Linked DNA regions of Macaca mulatta. The protein of the gene in region 1 interacts with the protein of each later gene in a biochemical or structural test. Links are inferred from orthologs where the notes say so. Each region holds a gene or a part of one and is shown in the gene's direction. Other genes may lie near its edges.

Evidence for each region. The genes of interacting proteins can lie anywhere in the genome.
Region 2: of the proteins of CHUK (region 1) and MAP3K14, one has a biochemical effect on the other in vitro, tested with the Homo sapiens proteins (5 studies listed by BioGRID and IntAct, with this or other methods). The link is inferred for Macaca mulatta from reciprocal best matches to the Homo sapiens genes CHUK and MAP3K14.
Region 3: of the proteins of CHUK (region 1) and NFKBIB, one has a biochemical effect on the other in vitro, tested with the Homo sapiens proteins (2 studies listed by BioGRID). The link is inferred for Macaca mulatta from reciprocal best matches to the Homo sapiens genes CHUK and NFKBIB.

What each region holds. Positions count from the first base shown.
Region 1 is NC_133414.1:112,264,257-112,273,978, reverse strand, and holds part of CHUK (inhibitor of nuclear factor kappa-B kinase subunit alpha), read left to right. Parts: intron 1-341; coding exon 342-456; intron 457-1,140; coding exon 1,141-1,210; intron 1,211-2,967; coding exon 2,968-3,056; intron 3,057-4,299; coding exon 4,300-4,389; intron 4,390-4,526; coding exon 4,527-4,651; intron 4,652-4,835; coding exon 4,836-4,943; intron 4,944-5,531; coding exon 5,532-5,667; intron 5,668-9,722.
Region 2 is NC_133421.1:69,685,962-69,696,178, reverse strand, and holds the start of MAP3K14 (mitogen-activated protein kinase kinase kinase 14), read left to right. Parts: upstream 1-4,435; 5' UTR 4,436-4,519; intron 4,520-10,217.
Region 3 is NC_133424.1:49,991,259-50,001,472, forward strand, and holds the start of NFKBIB (NF-kappa-B inhibitor beta), read left to right. Parts: upstream 1-4,432; 5' UTR 4,433-4,481; coding exon 4,482-4,660; intron 4,661-10,214. Other genes in the region: SIRT2 (NAD-dependent protein deacetylase sirtuin-2), read right to left, coding at 2,829-2,875, 3,955-3,970. UniProt on the Homo sapiens protein: Inhibits NF-kappa-B by complexing with and trapping it in the cytoplasm.

The sequences.
Region 1 (9,722 bases):
GTTACTTAGCCAATTTGTGCTTCAATTTTCTCCTGTGTGGTGAAAGTATTAATAAATCTACCTATATTAGGATTATTGTGACAAGTAATTGAGTTAATATATTTAAAATGCTTACTGCTTGGCACTTAGAAATGTAATAGTAGTAATAGTGATGGTATTTTTATGTATGTTTTCTTTTAAAAAATTCTAATTTTTAATTATACAAATCAGAAATTAGAGTATTATAAATAATACCGATCTTTCCCCCTCTGTTCATCCACCTGCAATTAAGTAGCATTTCAAATCCAGTCCCTTTTTATTGGAAATAAATTTTTTATTGTAATGTTTTTCTTTCTTATTAGGTTGAACCATGCCAACGTTGTAAAGGCCTGTGATGTTCCTGAAGAATTGAATATTTTGATTCATGATGTGCCTCTTCTAGCAATGGAATACTGTTCTGGAGGAGATCTCCGAAAGGTAGTGTGGATGTTTTGAGATGAGAGATAGTAAATCACAAACTTTAGCATTATTTGAATCATATTAAATATAATAAACTAGAATAAGAATCGGAAAAACTATGGTCTGCTTCCTGTTTTGTAAATAGTTTTATTGGAACACAGCCACATTCATTTCTTTACACATTGTCTGTGGCTGCTTTCTTATGACTGCAGAATTGAGTAGTTTAACAGAGGCTATGTGACTTGCAAAACCTAAAGTATTTACCATATGGTTCCTTACAGAAAATGTTTGTTGACTCCTGATTTAGAAAATGCATTTTTGTTGTTGCTGTTTGATGGGACTATAGCAGTGGTATTAGATGAAATTTTCAGTGGTTAAGGTGCTTGTAAAAAGTTGTTTTCTGTATTGCAATCTTTCTTTTTTACCTAATTTTAAATGTGCCCATATGACCATTTATATATATATCCCTGAGATTTGTCAGCCTTTTCCAGTTTCAAGTGCTTTTTGCTTCTTTTTACTTTTATGAGCCTTATCATGAAATTTACATGCCGTCAGTATGGATTTGGTAATTGTATTCCCTTGTATTTTATTATGACTTACTTTCTCATTGAATATTCTCTTAGAGTATAGTAATTAATGTGTGGTCACTATTACAGCCCAGCAATTTCCAGAACACATTTTTAGATTTCTTTCTTTTTTTAGCTGCTCAACAAACCAGAAAATTGTTGTGGACTTAAAGAAAGCCAGATACTTTCTTTACTAAGTGATATAGGTATGTAATCAGTATTAAAATACCATTGTGATGTAATGCCCCTTTGGTCCATAAAAGATTCTGTACCTTTTTGGGAATTCAGGAGAATTGTTGATACACTGTACAAAGTCTATAGAATTTCAGCATCTATAAGAAGTTATCATATAAATCTATTACTGTTGATGCTAAATTAAAACCAGGATATTTTTATATCCTAGGGTGCGGTGGCTCACGCCTGTAATCCCAGCACTTTGGGAGGCTGAGGTGGGCGGATCACGAGGTCAGGAGTCCAAGACCAGCCTGGCCAACATAGTGAAACTCCATCTCTACTAAAAATACAAAATGCCTGTAATCCCAGCACTTTGGGAGGCCAAGGCGGGCAGATCACAAGGTCAGGAGATCGACACCATCCTGGCTAACACAGTGAAACCCCGTCTCTACTAAAAAATCCAAAAAATTAGCTGGGTGTGTTGCGGGCGCCTGTAGTCCCAGCTATTTGGGAGGCTGAGGCAGGAGAATGGCGTGAACCCAGGAGGCAGAGCTTGCAATGAGCCGAGATCACGCCACTGCACTCCAGCCTAGGCGACAGAGCGAGACTCCGTCTCAAAAAAATAAAAAGAAAAATAGAAAAATTAGCTGGGCATGATGCCACATGCCTGTAGTCGCAGCTACTCGGGAGGCTGAGGCAGGAGAATTGCTTGAACCCAGGAGGTGGAGGTTGCAGTGAGCCGAGATTGGGCCACTGCACTCCGGCTTGGGCAACAGAGTGAGACTTTTGTCACACACACACACACACACACACACACACACACACACACACACAAACTAGGATATTTTATTTATTTTTGGCTAGGAGTCCTTTTTTAATCTAATAGGTGTTCCAATAGCTGACAAAAAAATCATGCAAAATGACCTTACTCAATTTCACTCCTCCCACACCATTGACATAGTAATTTTTTTTACAGTGGAATTGCATCTCCTTGAGAGATGGGTCCTCAAATCAACTCTTTTTTGTTTGTTTTGAGACGGAGTCTAGCCCTGTCACCCAGGCTAGAGTGCAGTGGTACGATCTCAGCTCACTGCAAGCTCTGCCTCCCAGGTTCAAGTGATTCTCCTGCCTCAGCCTCCTGAGTAGCTGGGATTACAGGCGCCCGCCACCATGCCTGGCTAATTTTTGTATTTTTAACAGAGACTGGGTTTCACTGTGTTGGCCTGGCTAGTCTCAAACTCCTGACCTCATGATCCGCCCGCCTCGGCCTCCCAAAGTGCTGGGATTGCAAGCGTGAGCCACCGCGCCCGGCCAAGTCAACTCTTGGGGTGAAAAATCTCTGCTTAATCAGAATGACTCCAGAAAAATTCCTAAAATAACCAGTACCTAACCTTTTGGAGGAACCTCAAAAACCAAAAATTTGTTTCCGCGTAGATTTTGGTTTTGCCTCTTTTCCAAGGTCATGAGAGCTAAAGTCCAATTTAAATGGTTGATTTAGGTGGGAGAAGGGGGCTTATTAGAATTACAGGGATTTTCCCAATTGCTTGTTGCATTTCTATTTAATGTTAATTCTAATGAGTTAGATGAACATATAGTATAATTTTGTAGTATTTGCTTAATGTTACGTTTTTCTGTGAAGAAAACCTGAACTACTGTAATATTAGTTGTGTAGTTACGATGATCCATATAAACTTGAGCATCAGAGCAGATTTGTACAAAATGTGAGGTGAATTTTTCTTTTAACTCAATGCTTTCTGTTACTTCAAAGTGTATTTTAAACTTTATTTAGGGTCTGGGATTCGATATTTGCATGAAAACAAAATTATACATCGAGATCTAAAACCTGAAAACATAGTTCTTCAGGACGTTGGTGGAAAGGTAGGTGAAACCTGAAGTAATGTTTCATGCCTATTGAATATAGTCTGTCTGATATAGTTAGTCCTTGAGCTTTGGTGTCTTTGCTGTATGCCCGTAACACTCTTACTTTTTCCATTTCAGACCTTACCACACTGAACTGTAGTTTTGTGTTTAGTTTTTTGTCCCTTCTGCTAAACAGTGGTTCCATTAAAGAAGGAACTGCACCTGTCTTTTTTTTCTTTTTCTTTTTCTTTTTCTTTTTTTTCATACTTAACGCAGCTCCTAGACTTCACCTGTCTTGTTCATGTCTGTTTTTCCAGCATAGTATCTAGCAAAGATACTGGCAGTGAATACATAATATGTTAACACTTACTATTTTATTCTTATGAAGCACATCCAAAACACATACACACACATCCTGGGTTCACTTTAAGAAAAAAAGAAAGTATGTATATTTTTAAAACTTATTTTCCTTCCCCCAATTTAGATGAGTTATCTGGAGAAGAACCAGAAATTGTGAATTGACTCTTAAAATGTTCATTTAATTAGTAACTTTTAAGCAGTTTTCTTGTTTCCAGCGTCCAAATTTCATTCCAGTAAAGACTTAAAAGCCAAGAGTCTGCGCCTTGGGTTGAGTTGTGTGTGCTGTCTTTTCAGGTAGTGAAGATAGTTGTTGGTCTCGTGGGGGTGTTGGAACCTTCGTGATGCTTCTTCTCTTAGGAGCCTTTCGTGTATGCTTGGCACCAAATATCTCTGCTTTTTTTTTTTTTTTTTTTTTTTTATCCAAAGACTTCAGGACATTCTTGAAGTTAGATCTCAGTATTTACTCACATTTAATCCACTCTAAGGGGGTATGATGCTTCTTCAAGTTTGGAAGTCAGCCTTGCCTTTACTTTCCAGTTTAATGGATCGAGCTTATTTTGAATATAGCAAAATAAAAATTAATAGCCCACCTGTATTTAATTTTTATCGTGTACCAAGCACTGTATTACCTTCTTTACTTTCATTATTTCATTGGATCCTAATAACAATTCTGTGAGGTAGGGACTGTTAGTCGTCCAATTAGATTACTGAGAGAGGTTAAATAACTTGGTAGATCACACACCTAGTTAAGTGGTGGCACTCAGACTTGAAATATTTTTGTGATATTACAGAGCCTAAGCTCCTCACCACCACCCTCTCTATAGCCTTATAAGGATATTGTTGTCTTTCCTTTTTAAATTTCTCTACCATTTAATACTTAATCTGTCTTATTATTTTTCAGATAATACATAAAATAATTGATCTGGGATATGCCAAAGATGTTGATCAAGGAAGTCTGTGTACATCTTTTGTGGGAACACTGCAGTATCTGGTGAGGCCTGTATTGTTTCTTTGAATTTAAATGTGTGTAGGATTCTCTTATTTCTGAAGATCATGAATATAGTAGTTCAAAAATAAAGTAGTTTTTCCCATACAGTGTTGGTGTTTAAAACATTTTCTCTTTTGAAGGCCCCAGAGCTCTTTGAGAATAAGCCTTACACAGCCACTGTTGATTATTGGAGCTTTGGGACCATGGTATTTGAATGTATTGCTGGATATAGGCCTTTTTTGCATCATCTGCAGCCATTTACCTGGTAAGAAATGGATGAGAACTTGGGCATGCTTAATGGGAATGGAAATATTTTCATTTGTCTGCTTTTTTTTTTTCTTTGTTTAATTGCCTTTGAAATATACAATTGAATATAATTAAATGGCAAGAAATCTTAAGAGTATTTGTGAGAATCACTTTGTCAGCTGAGGTAGCTTTTGATTTTATAGGCATGAGAAGATTAAGAAGAAGGATCCAAAGTGTATATTTGCATGTGAAGAGATGTCAGGAGAAGTTCGGTTTAGTAGCCATTTACCTCAACCAAATAGCCTTTGTAGGTAAGTATATTTTAGTTAAGGAAGTTTGCCTCAGTTTCTCCAGGGTTGTAAAGGAACAGTAGAGTAGTTTTCTGTTTCAAGTTGCATTATCCAGTAGAACTTTCTGTGATGATGTAGAAACCTTCTGTATCTCTGTTCGCCACATGAGGCTATTGACTCCTTGACGGGTAGCTAGTTTGTTTAGGTAACTGAATTTTGAATAAATACTAAATGTAAATAGCCATTTGGGACTGACTAGTGGCTACCATATCGGACAGCACAGATCTAGTGGAAACAAGAACTGCCATTTAACTGATTGACATAGGTCCTAAGAAGGTTCTTCGGATAATGAAGGAAATGGGTTCTTTGCAGAATGGATTTGGACTCATCCGTTGGAGTTGTCAGTAACTAACGTGGAGTTTTGAGTAGTTTTTGATGGAAAAAAGTTTGTTCCCTGTCATTTCATGAATTTGAAAGTAAGTTATGAAATGGTATAGACAAGTGATGTGGGAAAGAAAGTGGACAACCTACAAAATTACCTTTCTAACAGTATAAAGGGAAATTGGAACATAATGATTTGCTTTTCACCCTATTTTGTATGTTTTCTAGTTTAATAGTAGAACCCATGGAAAACTGGCTACAGTTGATGTTGAATTGGGACCCTCAGCAGAGAGGAGGACCTGTTGACCTTACTTTGAAGCAGCCAAGATGTTTTGTACTAATGGATCACATTTTGAATTTGAAGGTTAGTCTTAATGGGTCTACTGCATAAGACCAGCATTGAAATTAACAAGTTTATTTGGAAAGTTAGCATAAATATAGTTTAATAATCTTTTCCTGTTGCTTACTTATTTATTTATTTTGAGACAGGGTCTCGCTCTGTCACCTAGGCTGGAGTGCGGTGGCACGTTTTAAGCCCACTGCAACTTTCACCTCCCAGGTTCAAGCAATTCTTTTGCCTCAGCCTCCCAAGTAGCTGGGACTACAGGTGCATGCCACCACACCCAGCTAATTTTTGTATATTTAGTAGAGATAGGGTTTCACCACCTTGTCCAGGCTGGTCTTGAACTCCTGACTTCAGGTGATCCGCCCGCCTTGGCCTTCCAAAGTGGGATTACAGGCGTGAGCCACTGCGTCCAGCGCTGATGCGTATTTGAAAAAAGAAAATTATATTCTTAGAGCTGATTTTTAAAAAAAATTTCTTTAGCAAGCTGTCTCAGTTTGCTTCTCTGTGGTCTTTGTTGATTACTCCTTTGAAGCAACTTTTTAATTTACCTTTTCCCATGTTGTTGCCATTATCCTCATTCATTTATGTCTAGTCATACTGGATTTGATTTGGTAAGGAAGGTTCCTATCTGCCTTTCATGGTTCTGCACTTACTCCCTAACCTATAGTTAATTCAATATGTACTACCTATCTCATCTTCTGAAAATGCTTTTTTATTCTTCTGCCCAAGAAACTAACATAGTTCTTCTTTTTTTTTTTTTTTTTTTTTTTTTCACAAGTCAAGTGTAAACTGATCTGCTTGGCTTTTTTAGGGGGCTTTCCCTAACCAAGTTTTGCCTTGTACCTGCCTCTCTTAACCTTTACCTCATACAAGACCAGCTTGTCACTGCTCCTTATACCTCAAACCCATTATCTACCTTTATGCTTTGACAGATGCTATCCTTCTGCCTAGTATGATATCCATTTCTATCTCCTCACCTACACTGGCATGTCTTCAAGAACTTTTCTTTAAATGGTCTCTGCCACACAATTTGTCATTTAAAGGTTATATTCTCTATTTCTCATCTTCCATTCATGCATCTTCATATAGATTGTTTTCTTCTTCAATGTTGGGATTGTTTTACTACTTTTATTAACAACCACCCACCCTACCCATCCTAACCATGGCAGTCAGTACAGAGCAGGGCATGTATCAGGTTCTTAGTAAATTATTTATTGATATGAATGAGAGCTATAGATAGTTCTGTTGGGCAGTGTACCCAGAAACAACTCTCATAATAGTCTTCACATTTTTATTGATAGTTTATAGTATACAGGTTTCTAAAATTGAAATGAGAAATTATAATCATTTAATGTTGGAGTACATGGCGAGATAGTTCACTTTAGTCTGGAACTCCTGAACTCACGTGATCCTCCTGCCTCAGCCTCCAGAGTAAATGGGACTGCAGGTGTGCGCCAGCTCTCCTGCCTAATTTTTAAATTTTTGGTAGAAATGGGGTCTCGCTGTGTTGTCCAGGCTGGTTTTGAACTCCTGGCCTCAAGTGATCCTCCTACGTTGACTTCCCAAAGTGCTGGGATTACAGATGTGAGCCACCGTGCCCGATCTTGGCATACTTTATTAAATAGAAACTTGAGGCCATGTGGATGTCATTCTTGGCTAACACTGAAAAGATACCTAGCTTCTTCTTGATTTGGTTTCTTTCTACTGTGCCAAAGAATAAATTATCCCTTAGTGCGTTAGGAAAGCAGGGCTTTAGTTCTATGTTGCCTCTGAAACATTTCGGTTGTGAATGAATCACATCTCTTATTTGTTTCATACTCATCATAGGAATTATAGCATCATTTCTGCTTTGAAGGGCATCTGTGAGCCTCTTGTTATAGGGCATGGGGAAAGATTCCACATTATGGAGTTTGTAGTTTACAGACTTAAATTCAGTTTGCAGCACCACTATTTACCTGTCTGTGAACCTGAGCAAATGTTGTCTGTCTATCTCAAGGACAGTAATATCTTCCTCAAAGAACCAATATTATTATGAGGTTATACAGAATAAGGTATATATAAGGTACTAGTTATAGTAGTTCAAGAAACTTCAAGGATGCTTGTTAGACATGATAATAAGACTGAATTTTGAAGAATGAGATTTTTTAGGAAAAGGGTGGGGGTGGGATAGATTTATAGGCAGCAGAGCATCATGAGCAAAAGTACAGAAGTATGAACTACAAAACAGCTTGGTGTTACTGTAGAACATTTTCCTAAAATGTTTATATGTATTGTACAAGAAAGGAATGATGTCTGTTTGATTTTCACTTAAAAAAGGAAGCAACAAAACAGTTACTATTTCCCTTTTGAAAAAACAGCTTAGCAAGTCTGATTGTATGCATATTTTTCAACTGTTTATTATGAAAATCTTTAAATATGTTGAAGAGTTGGAAAAAGTGTACTGAACCTACCACTAAAAATAATGGTGAAACAGCAACATTTAATTATTTTTTTCTTTGCCTCCTCTTTCATGCCCCTAAATGTAACTGTATTCTGAGTCTCTTCTTGGTTCTTTTTCCATTACATTTCCTTTTTTTTATTAGGCAGTTTCTTCAGCTGTATAGCTTTACCTATAAACTGCACATGGATAACTCCTAAAGTTATTTCTCTCCATAGCTTAGACGTTTCCACCAAGGACTTATAACTGTCGTATAACTGTATAACTATCTGGTTGTTCCACTAGCACTTAAGACTTAATTTATTAAAAACTGAACATATTTGTTCTATCCATTAAATTTACTTCTTTTTTTTTGTTTGTTTTTGAGATAGAGCCTCACTGTGTCTCACGATCTCAGCTCACTGCAACCTACACCTCCTGGGTTCAAGCGATTCTCCTGCCTCAGCCTCCTGAGTAGCTGGGATTACAGGCGCCCGCCGCCATGTCTGGCTGATTTTTATATTTTTAGTAGAGATGGGGTTTCACCATGTTGGCCAGGCTGGTCTTGACACCCTGACCTCAGGTGATCTTCCCACCTTGGCCTTCCAAAGTGCTGGGATTACAGGCATGAGCCACTGCACCTGGCCCCATTAAATCTACCTCTGTAGATTTCCTACACCTCTTATTTGCACTGTCACCTTTTCAGTTACCCAGATGGGAAACTTTGGCTGTCTTGGCTCTTCCTTTCTCTTCAATCGATATATCCAATTATTTTATAAAGTTATCTTTTGAATATCTTAATAATTTTGAGCTTGCCAGGTTCTCAATTTAGAAAGGCTTGCATAGTTCTCTTTCACTTATTGAATAAAGTTCAGACCCTTTCATTGGTACTCAGAACCTATCTTGGTTTCATATCAATTTATACTTCCGGACTTACCTCTTACTAATACCCCGAGAGAGCATCATTTTAGGTACATTTGAACTGGATTAACTGTATTGTCTGATTATGCCCATCCCTTTCTACTTTTCTGCTTCTGCTCGCCTTGTTTTCTGCCTAAAGGAACTTATTTTTCAGTCCTTTCCCATTTCAGTCTTTCTTTCATTTCAAAGTTTAGCTCAAGTAGTGCCTCCTTTATGAAGTGCCCGCTTCCTACTGCCAAGTGTATGATACTTTACGCTGATTATAACACCTATCACATTTTGCCTGGTACTTTAGTTCTCTTAGTATATCTTAATACCTTCTGTTTGACTATAACTGTTTGGAGGGCAAGGATCATCAGGTACTCAGTTTGTATACCCACTACTACCACCACAACACATTTAATATTATGTACCAACAGTATGTACCTACCAATAGTAGGTACTCATTAAATATTAGTGAACAAAAAGATAAATTTAGGTTGTATTTCCTCTTTTTTCTTTTGCTCCCTTCTGGCCTGGAGCTTTGGTAGTGGGATGCCATGATGACATATCCTAATATCCTGTGTAAAAGTAGATGTCCATTATAGGATTTTTCATCCTAAGTTTCTGCTGTTGCTATAAATGGCAGCTGTCATAGTGTGAAATATGCCTAAACTGGGAAGGCATGGAAAGTCTCAGGTAGTATAATTGTATTGTAAATCCATATCAGTTTTGAAGATTTCCCTACTCCCCTTTT
Region 2 (10,217 bases), on another chromosome or scaffold:
CTCAAGTGTGACTTCAGAATCTCACAGTAATCTGGGGCCTGAAATCCACAGACATTCAGATGACTCATCAGCCACTTTCTCATTGGACATGGCTCAACACCATAAACCGTGCTGACTAAGGCAATAAAAACCAGAATATAATTTCCTTTCTTCCAAGGCAAACAGAAAAGGAAAAATGATCCAAGGATAGCATTCCTTCACTGATTTACTCACTCTTCATCATTCTCCTACAGAACTGATGGGCAACTGGCTCCCTGAAGCCTGAAGTCTCTCTGCAGAGTCCGGCATGCAGGAGGGCAGGGGCTCTGGAGGCAGACATGGTTTGAATCCTGGGTCTCCTGTCACAGCAAAGTGACACTGGGCAACTTACTTCTGTCTGAGCTTCAGTTTGCTCATCAGTGAAATGGGGACAGTAATACTACCTATTCTATGAGGTTAGACTGTAGGGGTTCTCAACTGGGGGCCATTTTGCTTCCTTGGTGACATCCAGCAATGTCCAGAGACATTTATTGTTGTCACATTGGGTAGATGAGGGAGTGCTATGGGTATGTAGTAGACAGAGGCCAGGAAAGCTTTTAAACATCCTCCAATGCACAAGACAGCCCTGATGTGGTTTGGCTACGGCCCCACCCAAATCTCATATTGAAACCAGGCACAGTGGCTCATGCCTGTAATTCCAGCACTTTGGGAGGTTGAGGCAGGTGGATCACTTGAGTTCAAGACCTGCCTGGCTGACATGGCAAAACCCCATCTCTACTAAAAATATAAAAATTAGCCGGGTATGGTGGTGCACATCTATGGTCCCAGCTACTCAGGAGGCTGAGGCACGAGAATCACTTGAACCTAGGAGGAGGAGGATGCAGTGACCTGAGGTCGCACCACTGCACTCCAGCCTGGGTGACACAGGGAGACTCCATCTCAAAAAAGAAAAACAAAATCTCATCTTGTAGCTCTCACAATTCCATGTTGTGCGAGGGACCCAGTGGGAGATACCTGAATCACTGGGGCAGTTTCTCCCATACTATTGTCATTGTAGTGCGTAAGTCTCATGAAATCTGATGGTTTTGTAAGGGGTTTCCCCTTTCGCTTGGCTCTCATCATTCTCTCTTGTCTGCTGTCACGTAAGACATGCCTTTTGCCTTCTGCCATGATTGTGAGGCCTCCCCAGCCACGTGTAACTGTCACTCCATTACACCTCTTTCCTTTATAAATTACCCCATCTCAGCTATGTCTTTATCAGCAGCGTGAAAACGGACTAATACAAGCCCCCTCCCCCAACAGTGAATTATCCAACCCCAAATGTCTATGGTGCCAGGCTGAGAAACCCCGGCCTAGAGGGAACATTCAGTGAGGTTATGCACATGAAGTACTCTAAGTCTGTCGGGCTTACTTTTTGTAAAGTATCAGAAAACAAGCTGCGATTCTTTTGGAATAGCACAGTCTTACGCTATTTCCAGAACTGAAATGGATGGGATGTGAAAACTGTTGAGTACTGAGAACCTAGTTCACTACTCCAGGTGTGAGTCATCCTGTAAATGTCAATTTCTTGTATTTAAAGCAGAGCTGAGGGTGCACAAGTGACTCAAGACCAGAAGCTTTCCCAGGTTGTCTCGACTTAGGCTGGGAGGAAATAATCTTGTCCCAAAGCTCTCCTTCCAGAGGGTGCAAGCACTTCAAGACTCAGAGACACCACACTGCTCACTCTGGGTGGGTGTATTGTTTCTCACCTCACCCACACACAGTGGGGCTTGGAAAGACCTCAGAAAAGTAGCTGAAACTGAGACGCCTTGCCTATCCCGAATATCTTCCTTACCAGTGTTTAGTGGCTTGTTCCTCTCCTGCAACCTGATGTGACATTTCCTCTCCAGAGTTACAGTTGTTTGTTTGTTTGTTTGTTTGTTTGTTTTTTCGAGACGGAGTCTTGCTCTGTCGCCCAGGCTGGAGTGCAGTGGCGGAATCTCCGCTCACTGCAAGCTCCACCTCCCGGCTTCACGCCGTTCTCCTGCCTCAACCTCCCAAGAAGCTGGGACTACAGGCGCCCGCCACCACGCCCGGCTAATTTTTTTGTATTTTCAGTAGAGACAGGGTTTCACCGTGTTAGCCAGGATGGTCTCAATCTCCTGATCTCGTGATCTGCCTGCCTCAGCCTCCCAAAGCACTGGGATTACAGGAGTGAGCCACCACCCCTGGCCGAACAGTTTTGAGTCAACACAGTTCACTCTCTCTGATTAATACACATTAGTGTTCAGGGATGAATTTAAAGACAGATCATCTTGATAGGGTAGGTGGGAGTGTACAGGGGACCCAGGACCAGAGGCGTCAAGAGAATCTGGGCAAAGTACAGAGGCACTGGGTGTTTTAAAGAAGGAATAGTGAAAGAGAGAGAAGGCAAAGGCAAGCCAGGGAGCGTCTCAGACTCTGGAGGTGTGCCCACATCTTTCCTGAGAAGTGCTGTGCCCAGAGGCAAACAGGTGGTGGGAAAGACAATAAGGGCATCCAAGTTTGCCGATACCAACCTGTACATCTGGCCAAGCTCTGCCTCTCCTTGAGTCACTGAAATGCAAAACCCTGGGGGTGGAAAGAGATTTGGGGGCCACCAGTTCAGCTTCTTTTTTGTCTGCCATCTCCCAGCTAGTCAGTGGCAGAGCCAGGGTGGGCACCAGAGACTGTTTGGCTCTAAAGCACAGACTCTGTGGGAGCCACAACCTCAAATGCTCCAGGGCCCAGACAGGTGACACAAGGTTAGATGGTTGAGTAAAAAACAGAGTGGCGGGAGCTGTAAGGAATCGTAGGCTCTGCTCTAAGGCATTCAAATTCAAATTTAAAAAAATATTGGGCCAGCCAAACAAAGCATATTTCTGGCCTGGGTGAGTGGATGAGGCCCTCAGGTTGTGAGTTTTTGACCACTGCCTAAATAAATGGTCTTCCCTATCCCCCAGCGGAGATGACTGTTTGGCACAGATATATCCAGAAAGAAGATTTCAGCTTTGGACTGTCTGCAAAGTAGTCTCAAGCAGATGGTGGTCTTTGCTCAAACACTTTCAGAGATGGAGTGTTCCTTACTTTTCAAGACAGCCTTGGGTGGGGCCTGCCTATCCCCAGACTAGAGCCACTCACCACACCTATCATGGACCCTTCGTGGAAGTGGGATGCCTAGGGTAGGAGTACGTCTTTTATTTTGCAAATAAATCAAGTTTGGTTTTTTTTTTTTTTTTAAGACTGCCTCACTCTGTCACCCAGGCTGAAGTGCAGTGGCACGATCATGGCTCACTGTAACCTCAAACTTTCAGCCTCCCCTCTAGCTGGGACTGCAGGTGCGAACTACCAAGCCCGGTTATTCTTTTATTTTTTGCAGAGACGAGGTCCCCGCTATATTGTCCAAGCCGTTCTCCAACTCCTGGCCTCAAGCGATCCTCCTGCCTTAGCCTCCCAAAGCGCTGGGAGTACAGGAGTGAGCCACCGTGCCTGGCCTGGAATTTATTACAAATAAAATACAAGTTCAGTGTGGAAACACTAGATGATACAGAGGAGCAAAAGTTAGAAAAAATGTCCATACCTTCCCTACTCCCCACCCCCGACCCCCATTCTGAAAGAAGCACTGTTGACACTTCAACGCATATTCTGAACTCCAGGTCCTTTCTTTGCATACATCAAGCTCTCATCCTCTTGCCGGCTCTGTGGTCTGCAAACTCGTCAAGCAGATGCTTTGCTCAGCGGTCATACCACGCCACGCACCCACATGCTCTCTTTGTACCTGGGTTTCAACCCACAGGTCGGGCCCCTGTAAGCCCTTTGCTCCCGAAGCTTCTCGAGGGCAGGCACTGTAACCTTTATTCATTCCAGGGATTCTACAGCACCAAACACACGATAAGAGCTCAATAAAAACGTCTCTACCCCCACCACCTCCCGCCTCAGCCGCCACCGCCTGGCAGCAGAGAGGAAGCGGGACGCGCGCGACCCACGAAGGACAGCGCCTCCCTGTCGCCAAGGTAACCGAAGTTAGAGGCAGGGAGTGCCCACGCATGCGCACACTCGCCCTTCCTTCCAGTAACCTCGAGAAGAACGCAGCTGGTAAGACTGCCAGAAGCCGAGGGCGCATGTGTGGTTCCACCAACACCCTAGTCGCCTCCGCCTTCTGTCCGCCCGCCCAGCGATCTCCCCTCTACAAACATCGCCCGGAAATAGTGCCCATTTCTGGAAACCAGGCCTCGTTAACCAATCGTTGCTAGGGAGCGGGAAGACGGGCTTGCCGGGACGGCCGTCTCATTGGCTGGCTTGGGGAAATGGGCGGGGCCACAGGTCGCCGTGCGGCCAAAGAAGGGAGGTGCGAAGCGAGGCAAAGTTACAGCCGCCGGGGGAGGCGTGGCCCCGGGGGCGGTGGAGAAGGCGAGGGGGCGGAGCCCGGGACCGGGGCGGGGCGACCGCGGGCCGGGAGCTCAGCGGTCGGCGGCCGGCGGCGGGAGATCGCGGGCGAGCGGAGCGCAACACTCGCTTGGTTGGGGAGATCGGCGCTTGGCCGGTAGGTGACGGGGCGGGACCCTGGGGCCCGGAACGAGGCGCCCAGGGAGCGGCTGGGATGGATCGCCCCTCAGCCCCGGGCTGGCCTGCGGCCTGGCCCCTCGCCCCGGAACAGTGGGGTTGGCGGCCGGGCCAGCGCAGTCCGACGTACCTCGTCCAACCCACTCGCGGCGGTCCGCGGGCGCGGCCTCGCACGCGCTGCCGGCGCCGCGCTCGCCCCGGGCCTCCAGGCCGCGCACTCCTGCTGGCCACACGCTGGCTCCGAGCGCGCGCAGGGGCGCCCTGCTTCCCCTTCACCAGGGCCCCGCGCCGCCGCCAGGCCCGCCCGCCTGCTCTGCGCCCCAGCGCCCCCAGGATGAAGCTCGCCTGGCGTGGGGCGGACGTGTCTCCTGCAGGAGTGCGCCCTCGCATCTGCCCTGGCGTGAAACCCTCGTGGTCTTTCCTGGGGAGTTCTCAGGTCACACCTCAAGGCGGGGAGCACGAGCTAAGCCTGTCCTCAGCATGCAGCGGGGCAGTGCTGGCCGCCCGCAGCATCCCCCCTCCGCCCTCTGAACCCAGTCCTCCTCTGTAATTCTTCTAGGCTCTCCAACTCGGGACTTTATCTGTTGGTTCAGATGTAATATTCCCATCTTGGAAACCCATCGTGGCCCTGGCATCTTGCAACCACCGGGCACCAGGCAGACAGGGGCCACTTGTACAGTTTCCCACCTGCCGGGGAGCCTCCTTAATGCTGGCTAATTTCAGAAAAAGTGTTTCCTTCCTAGTCGAGGTTAAAAAGTTGCTCTCGGCCCTAAAGGGTAGACTGGAGGTATGAATGAGGCAGAGGATAAGTGGTGAAAGGTACATACATCAGCAAAGTAAATGGTAAAACTACTCTTGATCACTGGAGACAATGAACACCAATGACTTAACTAAGGACCCTAAAAGCACGTGAAATTAAATGATCAGGGTAAGGTCATGGTATAAAATAGCAGTCTGGAGTTTATTCCAGGAAAAATGTTGAAAACCCCTTGACTAGAAACATGGTCTTTCTGAAAGATTAGAAGGAGACAGTATCTTAACATTAGTGATGTGTTTTTTACTTAGTGTTTTCATACCTGTGAGCTCTGTTTTCCTTCAGATGGCTGTGTGGTAAGACAGATTGTAGTGTCCTGTTTTATAAGTGAGGCACCTGAGGCAGGTGTGTATGAGGGGAGTGGGAGTGGTATGTATCTTGCCTGATGCCTCATAGCTGGGACTAAGGATGGGTCTTCCCCAGAATCCTAGATCAGGACCACATTATAGAACTGAGATGCAGACAGGAGGGAGAAGTTTTTGGTGTGGTTTTTATGCTGTCAGTGTGAGAGGACAGGTAAAAAGTGCTTGCCTTACTTCGCTTGTGTTTGGATTTACTCTTGGTGTTTTTTAAGTGATATCAATCAGTTCCTTTGGAGCGATGCCAGACCTCTGAATTTTTCAGACACCTTTCGGACATCCTCATTTATTTTGAAGGGTGTGGAGAACTCTCAGAAGATCTCAAAATAAAAGTAATCATCTCTGACTCTAATTTTAGAGATAAGTACCCAGGTGTATGTACCAGCTCTTTGTGAAATCAGACAGCAAGACGCTGCCAAGCTTCAGGCCATCTTCTGAGTGTTTTCTGATTATAAGGAGCAGTTCTGAAGGGGGTTTTTTGTCACTGGTATTGTCTGTTAAGGGTTTGTGGGAGCGGCACCACAGAGACCCTGCCAAATCAGTCTCCCTCTATTAAACAAAAATGTCTGGTTGGGCCTTTTCGCCTCAACAGATGAAGGTTTGGTTCCTCATTTTGGTTCTCCTGTTGAACACTGACTCCTTTGTGATCTGCCTGGAATATGTGTATATCATTTACTGCTGAGAAGATGACTTGCGCTGGTTGGTTGTCCAGCCCTAGGCCACTGTTGTGATTTTTGTTTTGTTTTGTTTTGGTGATTGATAACAGCTCATCCCTGGCCAGGGTCTGGTGAGAGATCTGCGGAGATGTGAAAGAGATGAAAGCTTTATCCAAGGTTGTTTTCTTCGTTGTTGGCACCCTCTGAACAGTGTTGTATCACTTTGGCCTGTGAAGGCACTTTTAACTTCCTATTTTTTTTCCTGTCTCAATGGACAGCGCATGGGCTTTCCTAACAAGCCTGCCTGCCCCTGTGAAGAGCTGACAGATTCATATTGGTTGGTTTGACAGATGTGCTTTCTGGGGGGAAAGTTCAGAAATCTTAAAAGCAAAGTCAGTCCTAAGTAAAAAGTCTAAGTCAGCCCAATATGCATACAGGCAGCATATTTCTACTGATGGCTTCCATCATCTCAAGGTTGTTTTTTTTTTTTTCCTGGCAAAAGGTTAAAATGCAACTAAAATTCTGCTTTCGTGATTAATAAGTCACTACCGCAGTTGTGTCTGATGCTTCCTGTTTGCCCCATTTTAGTATTTCAGTTAAACTGGAAACATCTGAGCATTATGGGCACTGTTGATGGCACCAGTGTGAAATTGATGGGCCAGGGACAATTCCATGTCAGTGGATTTAGGGAGCTCTAAGGATGTCAGCCCCTCTAGTCTCCACACACCACGATTCCCTAGTAAGAGAACAGAATGGGGCGGAACATCTGCAAGAGCTGGGTGGGCATTCAAAGTGATGCATGTGTGAAGGTTTTGCATTTACTCTGTGGTGCTGGCTAAAATGCTGAAAGCAGTAGCCCAGAAGGGGAAGGCGAGACCCAGGGCAAATTGTAGGGGAACATTTCTGTTGAACTGAGCGGGACATCGAAGTATGAGATTTTTCGTTCTAGGCTTATGACTGCCTGAATGACAATGCAGAAAAAGTCATTTTTCTTCAGTGGCCGGTGTGCTCTTTGTGTTCTAAAGGAGCCTCTTCCCTTCTTGCTTTTCTACATCTCTTAATCCCTCAGCTCCCTGATAGAAATCCCTTGAAATTATGTGGCATCAAGAATAATTTTATAGCCAGTCTTTCTATTTTCACACAATGCTCATGTGAAGAAGGGCAGGGACAAAGATCAGAAAAGTGAAGCCTCATAAGGAGAAATAGACAGGATTGCTCAGAATCTAAACCCCCTTTTCCTGACATCTAGGTCACTGCTTTTTCTACTAACTTGCTCATGAAACGGTAAGGATTTTCCTCCCCCAAAACATGTCAGTTTTGAATATAACGAAACCAGGCTAGCAGCTTTATTTATTTATTGTACCAGTCAATTGTTAATTGATATTGATTGTTAATTAATAAAAGGCTAAAAGAGGAATAGCCTGCTGTCTGGACAGGTGTGCTTGTGCCCATTTTCCAGATGTAGAAACAAAGGCAGAGAGCCCGTGATTTGTCCAGAGCAACAGAACAAGTCCTTGGTGTCTCCGTGTCACATGTGGTGGCTGAGGCTGTCAGGTCAGAGAGACCTGGGTCAGGTCGAGGTCTGCCACTGCCTGCCTGTGTGCCCACAGGCAAATCACTTCACTTCTCTAATCATCAGGTGCCTCATCTGTGAATGGAATCAGAAATACTTAACGGGAGTGTTTTGAGTAGAAAATGAGAGGACATATATAAAGTGCTGAGCCCAGTGCCCGGCACAGAATACAGCGACTGTAACTGTTGCTGTTGTTGTTACTGTTGGTGGTGGTGGCAGTAGTAGTAGTAGTAATAGTAGCAGTGATAGTAGCAGTAGTAGTTGCCAATTAATGCATTGTGACTAAACCTGTTTTCTGTAAGATGATGTCAAGAAGAGTCAGACTGCCTGACAGGCCAGAGTCATTTTCTCAGTAGGACTTTTAGGGGGACAGTTCTTCAGTCTAAAAGCGTCAGCTGTCGTGTTCTCCCTGCCTTACACTATATACTGTCCTCACCATACTCCAAATAAGCCTACAAAGGTCCAGGCTCTGCCCAGTTGACAATCCTGACTCTGAGCTGGAGACACAGCTGGGCCTGTCTAGGGGCTTCCTGCGTCCCACATGTGATCAAGTAGGTTCCTGCATTAACCCTGGAGGTGAGGAAAGGGAAAATACTGTATGGCATGTAGGTCAGCAAGGACTTGCTCTTTGTCTGGGGGACTAGGAGGGAACATTTGGTTCTGAGGAGTGAGGTTCCCGCTACCACATGGCATCCCCAGCTCGCCGTCCTTTCCCTCTCATAAAGATGTCTTTGGCAGCTTCTCTCCAGGACTGTGTCTGGGAGCCCAGGATCTGCAGTCAGGGACTTGCAGATTTCCCTTTAAATCTCACAGGAAGCCTGGAATGGTGGTGTGTGTTTCTGTAGTCCCAGCTACTTGAGAGGCTGAGGCGGGAGGATCACTTGAGCCCAGGAGGTCAAGTAGCTATGGGCAACATAGCGAGACCCCATCTCTTAAAAGAAAAACATTTGTTTTAATCTCACAAGGGAAAAAAAAAAAACCAGTTTCATATTATATTTTAAAGTCTTTTTTCCCCTTAATACAAAACAAAAATATAGGCTCTCACCAGGCTGCCATTCCCTTTAAATAACATTTTGTTTTCTCTTGGGGAAGCTGACTTGATGGCCGAAGAGTCATTTCTAAAGTGAAGCTAGTTTTTAGAAAAAATAGATCACCGGATGTCAAGCCTCATGTGGAGCTGGGTTCAGATGAAAATGAAACCAGCAGGCCTGGCGTGGCAGCTCTGCACTTGACTTCAAGCTGGAGGTGAGAGGCAGAGTGTGCCTGGACCTTGCTCCATAACTGGTTGACCCCACAGAGTGCATTTGATAGGTGCCTTAGTCATTTTCCAAGCAGCTTTGCTTAGGTGAGCAGAGCACTTTCTCTGGAAGGTGAGTCACTCGTGCAGGGGTGTAGGTGACAGGCGATTTATTCCCCAGCACAGTTGCAGAGAAAGTCCTGAGCAGACCTTTGTGAGGAGCCCTCTGCCACAAATCACCCTCATCCCAGCCCCGGGCTAGGAGGCTGGGGGCAGGAGGCAAACAGGAGGCTTCTGGGGCCTGCGGGCTGACAGCGGAGGGGGGATCGTAGACAGGGCACAGAGCCCAGATCAGCAGTGTCACTGACTCCTGAGTCCAGCCACCTTGAGGGTGGAAAATGGCCTGCTTCCAGTGACAGTCAGCAGAGAAGCAGGAGGGGAGCTTTGGCCCCAGGGAGCTGGGAAATCCCTTGGCAGAGAGCAGAGCGACAAACCCTATTTTGGTGTGAAAAACCTTTTAGGAACGCTTTTCCACCTGCCTCCTTTACAACCACCTGAGTTGGAGGCTCTACAGAGCTCCAGTGATTGGAAAGGTGAGATTAAACCCTGGATTTCAAGAAGCTTCAGGAATCCCAAGCCTGCCACCACCTCAGTTGTCTACACTTCTAGGACCAGGGTTTGGACCCAGAAAGAAGCAGCAGGGGGAACTCCTGAGCCATCCCTCCCTCCCAGTTTCTGGCTACTACAGCTTCTCCTGACCCTCTTTCCGCTAAAACCACTATCAGGTGACCATTAAGGCAGAGATTTTCTTCAGACACTGTTCTGGACTAGTGCAGCTGGTGTTGAACTTGACCGCTTATGGCCAGGGACATCTATAAGCAATGTCCAGGACCACGTACAAGGAGCGCTTGACTTTAATGAAGCTACAGCCGAGGAACGGTTATTCTCTTGCAAGTAATATTGTTCCCTATCTCTGGCAGACCACCAACCCAGCCCCTGTACCCATACTCCATCAATCTGGACCAACCAGCAGTCACTT
Region 3 (10,214 bases), on another chromosome or scaffold:
CCTCAGACAACCCCTTCCCCGGCCACTCACTGCTCTGCGTCCAAGCCTTTTTGAATAAGACCCTCCTTTCCAAACATATGACAATTTAAAAAATTGCTTTTTAAGACTGTGCAACTCCAGATGGGCGTGGTGGCTCATGCCTGTAATCCCAACACTTTGGGAGGCTGAGGCAGGAAGATTGCTTGAGGCCAGGAGTTCAAGACCAGCCTGAGCAACACAGTGAGACTTTGTCTCTATCTAAAAAGAGAGAGAGAGGCCGAGCGTGGTGGCTCAGGCCTGTAATCCCAGCACTTTGGGAGGCTGAGGCGGGTGGATCACGAGGTCAGGAGATCGAGACCATCCTGGCCAACACGGTGAAACCCCATCTCTACTAAAATACAAAAAATTAGCCAGGCGTGGTGGCAGGCGCCTGTAGTCCCAGTTACTCAGGAGGCTGAGGCAGGACAATTGCTTGAACCCGGGAGGCGGAGGTTGAAGTAAGCCAAGATGGCGCCACTGCACTCCAGCCTGGTGACAGAGTGAGACTCCGTCTCAAAAAAAGAGAGAGAGAAAAAAGAGAGTGAAAATGAGAGAGAGAGAGAGAGAGAGAGAGAGAGATTGGACAACCTCTGCAAAAACCTTGACCACACTCGCGCGTACTTCAACAACATATGACTTGGGGCACATGCCTTGTAATTACCCAAGCCCACCCTTATAAAGATAACCACTGTTAGCTAAGCTTAATGGTAATTACTCCAGTTTCCTCTGCATAAAACTAATTATTTCTACAGAAATAGGTCATAGTACAACATCTTGAGTTTTCTGCAGAACGATATGCTACAGACCTACCTAATTTTAAAGATAATTTTTAAAAAAGAGACGGCATTTTGCTATGTCGCCCAGGCTGGTCTCGAACTCCTGGGCTCAAGTGATCCTCCTGCCTCCCAAAGTGCTGGGATTACAGGTGTGAGCCACCGTGCCCAGCCTCACCTCATTTTTCAGAGCAGCTACATAGTATTGGATTGTATGGATGAACCATAGTTCATTTAACCCATCCACTAACAGCCATTTGGACTGTCTCCAGTTTTGCCCTGTGACGGACAATGCTGCATTTTACATCCTCGCATCTCTCTCTTTGGGACTGAGGATCCTTTTTAACATTCAACCTTTTTATCTGACGTTGGTCGTGCTTTGGGGGCCAGGCGAGTGAGTTGCCACAGCCTAACAGGAGGCTCTTATATCCTCAGCAAGGCTCCACTGTGCATTTGTGAGGTATTCTGATGCCCGCTTCTGCACCACCCCACGTCTGACAGGCAATCTTGGGGGTGTGGGTGGGCTGGCACTCTTGCAGGCTGTACAGAGTGAGGCTGTGTGGAAGGCCTGTGCCCAGCATGTATCGGCAGCTTGGCCTAAGGGAGAGCTGGAGGTGCTGATGGGGGGCCTTCAAACTCCTGTGAGACTGCCTGTCCACCTCTCCTGGCAGCCTCTGGCAGGCGGTGTGCCCAGTGCTGGGGGACTCAAACCTTTCCCTGCTCCTCTAGCCGAGGGACAGGGGACAAGTGACTTAACACCTCTGTTTCAAATTCTGCCTCTGTAAAATGGCCATGATAGGCATTTCTCTTCACAGGGATGCCAGGAAGATGAAGTGAGATGAGGCAAGTTTGGCACTAAACAGTGTGCACAGCTGGAGTAAGCCATCAGTAAATGTTAACCGTGACTATAACGAGCTGACCCCTACCAGCCACCCAGTTACGGAACACATCACACTCCTTCATGCCCCCAGGTCTTTGCACAAGCGATACCTGTCGTGTGGATCACCTTTTCTCACCTTGTCTAAGAAAATTCTAAGTCACTCTTCACTTATACTGTGTCTGTATCTTGGTCTGACAGCTAGACCAGCCTGTGGATTCCTCCAGGGAATGGCCTGGCTGGAATCTTCTTTGACCCAGAAAGTTTTTCTCTGTGCTCCCACAGTGCCCTGAGTTTCTTTACTTTTCTTCCTTTTTTTTTTTTTTTTTTTTTTTTTGAGACCGTGTCTTGCTCTGTCGCCCAGGCTGGAGAGCAGTGGCACAATCATGGCATGCTACGGCCTTAAACTCCTGGGCTTAAGCAATCCTTCCCCAACTCAGCCTCATGAGTAGCTGGCACTACAGGCATGTACCACTGCACATGGCTAACTTTTAGATTTTTTGGGGCCTCCCTACGTTGCCCAGACTGGTCTGGAACTTCTAGGCTCAAGCGATCCTCCTACCTCAGCCTCCCAAAGTACTGGTATTACAAGCATGAGCCACTGTGTCTGGCCTGAGTTACTTTCTTTCTTTTTTACTTTTTAGAGAAAGGGTCTTGCTGTTTTACCCTGGAGTGCAACGATGCAATCATAGCTCACTGCAGCCTCAAACTCCTGGGCTCAAGCGATCCTCACGCCTCAGCCTCCTGAGTTATTGGAATTACGGGCATAAGCCACTGCACCTGGCCCCCTGAGTTACTTTTATCATCACACTGTGAGATAATTTTTTCCCATCACTTGTCCACGAGATCTGTGCGTTCCAAGACCAAATGGGATACCTGTCTCTTCCAGGCCCAGGACAAATTTGGTTCAGAAGGGATGGCAGGCAGTGGCGAGGAAGGAGGAAAGTTTGGGAGGGCAGGCCTGGACTTGAGGCTGGAAACGCTTCTCTGACAATCCCCAGAATCCGCCTTTCCCCAGAAAGCTGCACTGGGTGGTGTGAGGGATTGGGGCAATGAGCCGAGGGCCGTGGGGTGACTGTCTCCCCTTTGCCACCTCCCCCCCTGCGGGCTGTGGAACAAGTCCATCTCTCTCCTCCCCTCCACCCTTTCGCCCATCTCACCTGAGCCTCCTGCACCTTCCCTGCCTGGGTCTCCAGAGGGTGAGAGGCTGAGGGAGGGGAGCAGAGGTGGTTACAGTGGGGAGAATGATTAAGTGGGGAATAAAGGGATTCAAATGGTCAGTGAGGGGCCAGAACACCCACCAACCGAGTTACACTGGGATGGGATGGTGGTAAAAATGGAGCACGGGGAGGGAGGGGGCGGAGAAAAAATCTTATCAGCATGCAAAGTGATGCCAGGAGAGGTGATTAGTGAGGGGCAGAGAGGCTGGAGAGGAAGATTTAGAAGGAGAGGGAGAAAGTAGGGGCTTTTGCCCAGGCTGATCTTGAACTCCTGGGCTCAAGCGATCCAACCACCTTGGCCTCTCAAAGTACTGGGGTTACAAGCATGAGCCATTGTGTCTGGCCCTGACTTACTTTCTTTCTTTTTTACTTTTTAGAGAAAGGGTCTCGCTCATGTCACCCAGGCTGGAGTGCAATGGTGCGATCATAGCTCACTGCAGCCTCAAACTCCTGGGCTCAAGCGATCCTCCTCCTCCTACCTAAGGGATTCAGGGCATGAAGGAACACTCAGGAGGAGTTAGGAAGGACACGACAGTGTGTCAGTGTGTGTGCGGGAAGGGTTAGATTTACAAGGCAGAGGGAAGTTTAGAAAGGAAGAGAGAAGGGAAGGGACGCTTTGGCTGGGAGGCAGGTTTAGGAGGGAGGTGCAGTGGTGCAGTGGAGGCGGTAGGTTTAGGAGAGGCGCGGAACAAGGGGAAGCCATAGAAGGGGACAGCAGGGGTCCCTCAGCATCCTCTGGTTGCCTCTAACAATCAGGTACCCTTAGCAGCCGGGACCGGGGCAACTTATGTTCTTTGCAGCGAGGGTCCTTAGCAACCAAGGTGTGAGAAACACGCGATCATTGGCAACTTGGCAAGTGGATGTGGTAAACGAACCCTGAACACCCTGCGACCCAGAAACCCACCAGCCTGGCGATATAGATCGCTTAGCAACAACCCTCAGAACCCCACTCCCCGAGGCGCTCCCTACTTCCCGCCCCACTGCGGCCGCCCTTGGGCCCCGGGGCCTGCAGCCTTCAATCAGGCCCCGGCGCGGCCCGACCCTCCCACCCGGATTCCCGACTCACGGTCCGGCTCTGCCATGGGCGCGGTGCTGAAGCCCTCGAGGCTGTCACCGACCGCTCTGTCCCGTCACCGACCACTGTGTCCCGTCACCGACGGCTCTGTCCTGTCACCGACTGCTCTGTCCCGTGACGGCACCAGAAATGGGAGTGGCCGGGATAGGGCACTGAACTACAACTCCCAGCAGACATTGCGGCCGCAGACGCGCTTTCCTACGACACCCGGAGCGCCCCAGTTAGGTAAGAAAGCGCGCGAGGACCGGACTACGAGTCCCAGAAGTCATGGCGTCAGCAGCCATGTTGGTAAAGGGCGCCCGGAAAATGTGGGAACGGCTAGAGAGTCGTAGTCCTCTCGAATACTCTGATTGGTCAGCATGCGGCACGGGGGCGGGGTGTGAGCGATTCAGCATATTATCATTGGATGAATCAGGGGGCGTGGTGGGGAATTTCCCGCAGGGCGGAAGCGCCAGAACTCCCGGCAAAGCCCAGCTACAGGCGGGCCACTGCGAGGGGCCCCTGAGGTGGCGGGGGCCATGGCTGGGGTCGCGTGCTTGGGAAAAGCTGCCGACGCAGATGAATGGTGCGACAGCGGCCTCGGCTCCCTGGGTCCGGACGCAGCGGCCCCCGGAGGACCGGGATTGGGCGCGGAGCTGGGCCCGGGGCTGTCGTGGGCTCCCCTCGTCTTCGGCTACGTCACTGAGGATGGGGACACGTGAGTGAACTTTAGGCTGCCAAACGGAGCCTTAGGACCCGGCATCTGATTCCCCATTAGTGTCTGATCCCTGAGGCTTCCTAACCTCACACTCCTAAATCTGACTTCCGATGCTGAACTTCCTGACCTCTAACCCCCGAGTCCTAACTTTTAACAAAACCAATCTTCTTTCCAGCTATGATCCTCACCCAATCATTTCTGACCTTTTCCTGAACTATGATTCTCAGCTCCTGGAATCCACGTTGTATCCACTGATACCCAAACCTGACTCCAGTCCTGAGACTTTTGTTAGAACTGTGGCTTCTCCTGACTTCTAACCTCCAAATATGATCTTTGATTCTTAGTTCCTGATTTGAGCCTTAAAGTTTGATTTCCAAAATTAATGCTTGGTCCCTTACTCTAAGATCCTGTCATCTGAGCAGTGTTCTTCAAATCTTAAATTCAAAGAGAGAGAATGTAAGCTCTTCTATGTTGAATTCCTAATTAAAGTAAAAAAAAAAAAAAAAGGAAAATAGAAAAAAAGAATGTAAGCTCCACGAGACCAAGGATCCATCTGTTAAACAAATATTCTTTACACAGTACAACATTCCAGGCTCCGTTTTAGGTGCTAGTGATAAAGGCAGTGGAGAAAACAGACAAAAACTTAAGCGCTTGTGGAGCATACATTTTAGTGGAACTAAATAAACAGATAAGACCGCAAGGAAGGAAAGAAACAGAAAGACAGGAAGAAACAAAGAAAGACACGCAGAAAGAAAGAAACATAGAAAGTAAGAGAAGGAAATAAAGTCAGAGGTAGTAAGTACTTTGGAGAAAAATAAAGCAGGAAAATGAGGCAATAGATAAACAGGATAAGAGCATTTCAGGGAGAAGGAACTGCAGTTGCAAAGCCCAGATGAGGGACTGTACTGGGTTTTTTGTCTGTTGTGTTTTCTGCTGTATGCCCAGTGATGCAAGCAGTGCCTGACCCAGGAGGCACTGAAGAAATATTTATCTTTTCAAAGAACCAGCTTTATAATCTTGTTAATTTTCATTACATTTCATTACTTAATTTTGGTTTCTTTTTTTTTTTTTTTTTTTTTTACTTTTTATATAATTAGTCTCTGTCCTGGCTTTTTTTTTGAGACAGAGTCTCGCTCTGTCGCCCAGGCTGGAGTGCAGTGGCCGGATCTCAGCTCACTGCAAGCTCCGCCTGCCGGGTTTAAGCCATTCTCCTGCCTCAGCCTCCCGAGTAGCTGGGACTACAGGTGCCCGCCACCTCGCCTGGCTAGTTTTTTTTTTTTTTAGTAGAGACAGGGTTTCACTGTGTTAGCCAGGATGGTTTCGATCTCCTGACCTCGTGATCCGCCATCTCGGCCTCCCAAAGTGCTGGGATTACAGGCTTGAGCCACCGCGCCCGGCCGGTTTTTTTGTTTTGTTTTGTTTTGTTTTTTGAAATGGAGTTTCACTCTGTCGCCCAGGCTGGAGTGCAGTGGCACCATGTTGACTCACTGCAACCTCCATCTCCTGGGTTCAAGCAATTCTCCTGCCTCAACCTCCCCAGTAGCTGGGATTACAGGTGCCCACCACCATGCCTGGCTAATTTTTGTGTTTTTAGTAGAGATGGGGTTTCACCATGTTGGCCAGGCTGGTCTCAAACTCCTGACCCCGTGATCTGCCTGCCTCAGCCTCCCAAAGTGCTGGGATTGCAGGCATGAGCCACCATGCCAGGCTGTTCTGACTTTTATTATGTTCATTCTTCTGCTTACTTTGGCTTTAATTTGTTCTTCTTTTTGTAGTTTCTTAAGGTGAAAGTTGAGATCATTGATTTGAGACCTTTCTTTTTTCCTCTTTTCCAGTATAGGTATTGAGTGCTATAAATTTGCTCCTGACTATTGTTTAGCAATATTGTTTTAGCAATATCTCTCAAATTCTGGTATGTTGTGTTTTTATTTTCATTTAATTCAGTATGCTTTATTATTTTTTTGAGTTGGAGTCCACTCTGTTCCCCAGGCTGGAGTGCAGTGGCACAGTTTCCGTTCACTGCAACCTTGTCCTCCTGGGTTCAAGTGATTCTCTTGCCTCAGCCTCCCGAGTAGTTGGGATTACAGGGGGGTGCCACCACCCCCGGATAAGTTTTGTAATTTTTTTGGTAGAGACAGGGTTTCACCATGTTGGCCAGGCTGGTCTCAAACTCCTTACCTCAAATGATCTGCCCACCTTGGCCTCCCAAAGTGCTGGGATTACAGGCATGAGCCACCACACCCGGCCTAATTCAGTATTTTTTTTCTTTTTCTTTTTTTTTTGAGACTGGAGTCTTGCTCTGTCACCAAAGCTGTAGTACAGTGGAATGATCTCAGCTTGCTGCAACCTCTGCCTCCCAGGTTCAAGCAATTCTCATGTTTCAGCCTTCCGCGTAGCAGGGATTACAGGCATGCACCACCACATCCGGCTAATTTTTGTGCTTTTAGCAGAGATGGGATTTCACCATGTTGGCCAGGCTGGTCTGGAACTCCTGACTTAAAGTGATCCACCCACCTCGGCCTCCCAACGTGGTGGGATTACAGGTGTGAGCCACCACACCCGGCCTAAAAATATTTGTATTTCTGTCTGTCTGTCTATCTATCTATCATCTGTCTCTCTCTCTCTCTCTCTCTCTATCTCTATCTATCTCTGTCTATCTCTGTCTATCTATCTACCTACCTACCTGCCTGCCTGCCTGCCTGCCTGCCTATTGACAGGGTCTTACCTAGGCTGGATACAGTGTCTCAATCATGGCTTACTGCAGTCTTGAACTCCTACCAAGCCATCCCCCTACCCCAGCCTCCCAAGTAGCTAGGACTACAGGTTTGCTCCACCATGTCTGGGTAATTTATTTATATCTAAAGGGTGTTTCTTGTAGACCATGTATAATTGGGTTTTGCTTTCTTTTTAATAGAGACAGGATCTTGCTATGTTGCCCAGGCTTATCTTGAATGCCTGGGCTCAAGCAATCCACCTGCCTCAGCCTCCTAAAGTGCTAGGATTATAGGCATGAGCCACCACCCCTGGCCTTTGCTTTTTTATTCAATCTAACAATCTCTACCCTTTTTTTTTTTTTGAGGCAAGGTCTTGCTCTGTCACCCAGGCTGGAGTGCAGTGGCATGATCATGGCCTACTGTAGCCATGACCTCCTGGCTCAAGTGATCCTTGCACCTCAGCCTCCTGAGTAGCTAGGACCACAGGCACATGCCACCATGCCTGGCAAACTTTTAAATTTTTTTGTAGAGACAGGGTCCCCCTGTGTTCTCAAACTCTTTTTTTTTTTTTTTTTTTTTTGAGACACGGTCTCATTCTGTCACCCAGGCTAGAGTGTAGTGGCACTGTCTCTGCTCGCTGAAACCTCTGCCTCCGGGGTTCAAGCAGTTCTACTGCCTCAGCCTCCTAAATTTGGGATTACAGGCGTGTGCCACCACACCTGGCTAATTTTTGTATTTTTAGTAGCAACAGCAGTTTCACCATGTTGGCCAGGCTGGTCTCGAACTTCTGACCTCAGGTGATCCACCCGCTGTGGCCTCTCAGAGTGCTGGGATTACAGGTGTGAGCCGCTGTGTGCAGCCGTGGTCTTAAACTCTTGAGCTCAAGCAATCTTCCCACCTTGGTCTCCCAAAGCGCTGGATACAAGGATGAACCACTGTGCCCAGCCAGTCTCTGCCTTTTAATTAGTGTTTAGACCATTTACATTTAATTTGATATTGATATGATTGTGTAAATTTATCCCATTTCTATTATATATATTCTATTTATCTATGTTTTCTTTTTCCTCCTTTTTGCCTTTTATTGGGTATAGTTTTTGTTACTTTTTTTCAATCCTGCTCCTTCTGAATAGTGTTTTTCATTTTTTTTTTTGTTTGCTTATTGGATATTCCTCTTTTTGTTATGTTAGTGGTTGCTTTAAGGTGGGGGTTGGCAAACTATGGCCTCCAGGCAAAATCTAGCCAGCCATCTGCTTTTGTATGGTTATGAGCTAAGAATGGTCTTTACATTTTTAAACAGTTTCTAAAAATCAAAAGAAGGATAATGTTATATGGCAAGTGAAAATATATAAAATTCATATTTCAAGCTCCATAAATAAAGTTCTTTTGGAATGCAAGCAAGCTCATTCATTTACATACTGACACAGCAGAGTCGAGTAGTCAAAATAAACCATATGACTGCTGGGCTTAGTGGCTGACGCCTGTAATCCCAGCACATTGGGAGGCCGAGGCGGGCAGATCACGAGGTCAGGAGATCGAGACCATCCTGGCTAACACGGTGAAACCCTGTCTCTACTAAAAATGCAAACAATTAGCCGGGCATGGTGGCAGGCGCCTGTAGTCCCAGCTAATTGGGAAGCAGGAGAATCGCTTGAACCCAGGAGGCGGAGGTTACAGTGAGCCAAGATCACGCCACTGCACTTCAGCCTGGGCAGCAGAGCGAGACTCCATCTCAAAAAAACAAAACAAAAACAGAAACAAACAAACAAACAAAAAACAGAAAGAGAAACTATTGACTTATAGACTAAAATAGTTATCTGGCTCCTTACAGAAAAAATTTGCTGATTCCTGCTGTAGGGTTGATAGTTTACAACTTTAAGTTATCATGGGCTACCTTAAAGTGAAATTATGCCATTCCACATAGAGTAAAAGAACTTTATTTTATTTTATTATTATTATTTGAGACGGAGTCTCACTCTGTCGCCCAGGCTGGAGTGCAGTAGCACGATCTCGGCTCACTGCAAGCTCCACCTCTCCGGTTCAAGTGATTGTCCTGCCTCAGCCTCCTGAGTAGCTGGGATTACAGGCACGTGCCACCATGCCTGGCTAATTTTTTGTGTGTTTTTTGTAGAGACAGGGTCTCATCGTGTTGGCCAGGTTGGTCTCAAACTCCTGACCTCAAGTGATCCATCTGTCTCAGCCTCCCAAAGTGCTGGGATTACAGGTGTGAGCCACCGTGCCCAGCATAATGAACTGTTTTAATATTCTTGTTTGCAAATTCTAACATTTGTGTCATTTCTGGGTCAGTTTCAATTGATTGATGGTTCCTATTATGGATCATATTTTCCTGCTTCTTTACATGCCTGATAATCTTTGGTTAGGTGCCAGACATGGTGAATTTTTTTTTTTTTTTTTTTTTGAGACAGAGTCTCGCTCTGTTGCCCAGGCTGGAGTGCAGTGGTGCGATCTCTGCTCACTGCAAGCTCCGCCTCCTGGGTTCACACCATTCTCCTGCCTCAGCCTCCCGAGTAGCTGGGACTACAGGCGCCCGCCACCACGCCCGGCTAATTTTTTGTATTTTTAGTAGAGACGGGGTTTCACCGTGGTAGCCAGGATGGTCTCGATCTCCTGACCTCACGATCCACCCACCTTGGCCTCCCAAAGTGCTGGGATTACAGGCGTGAGCCACCGCGCCCGGCCAACATTGTGAATTTTACCTTGTTAGTCTGGATAGTTGTGTATTCCTATAAATATTCTTGAATATTATTCTGGGGTGGAATTAAATTACTCAGAAGTAGTAGTTTGAGTCTTTCAAGTTATTGCTTTTATGGTTTGTTAGGTGG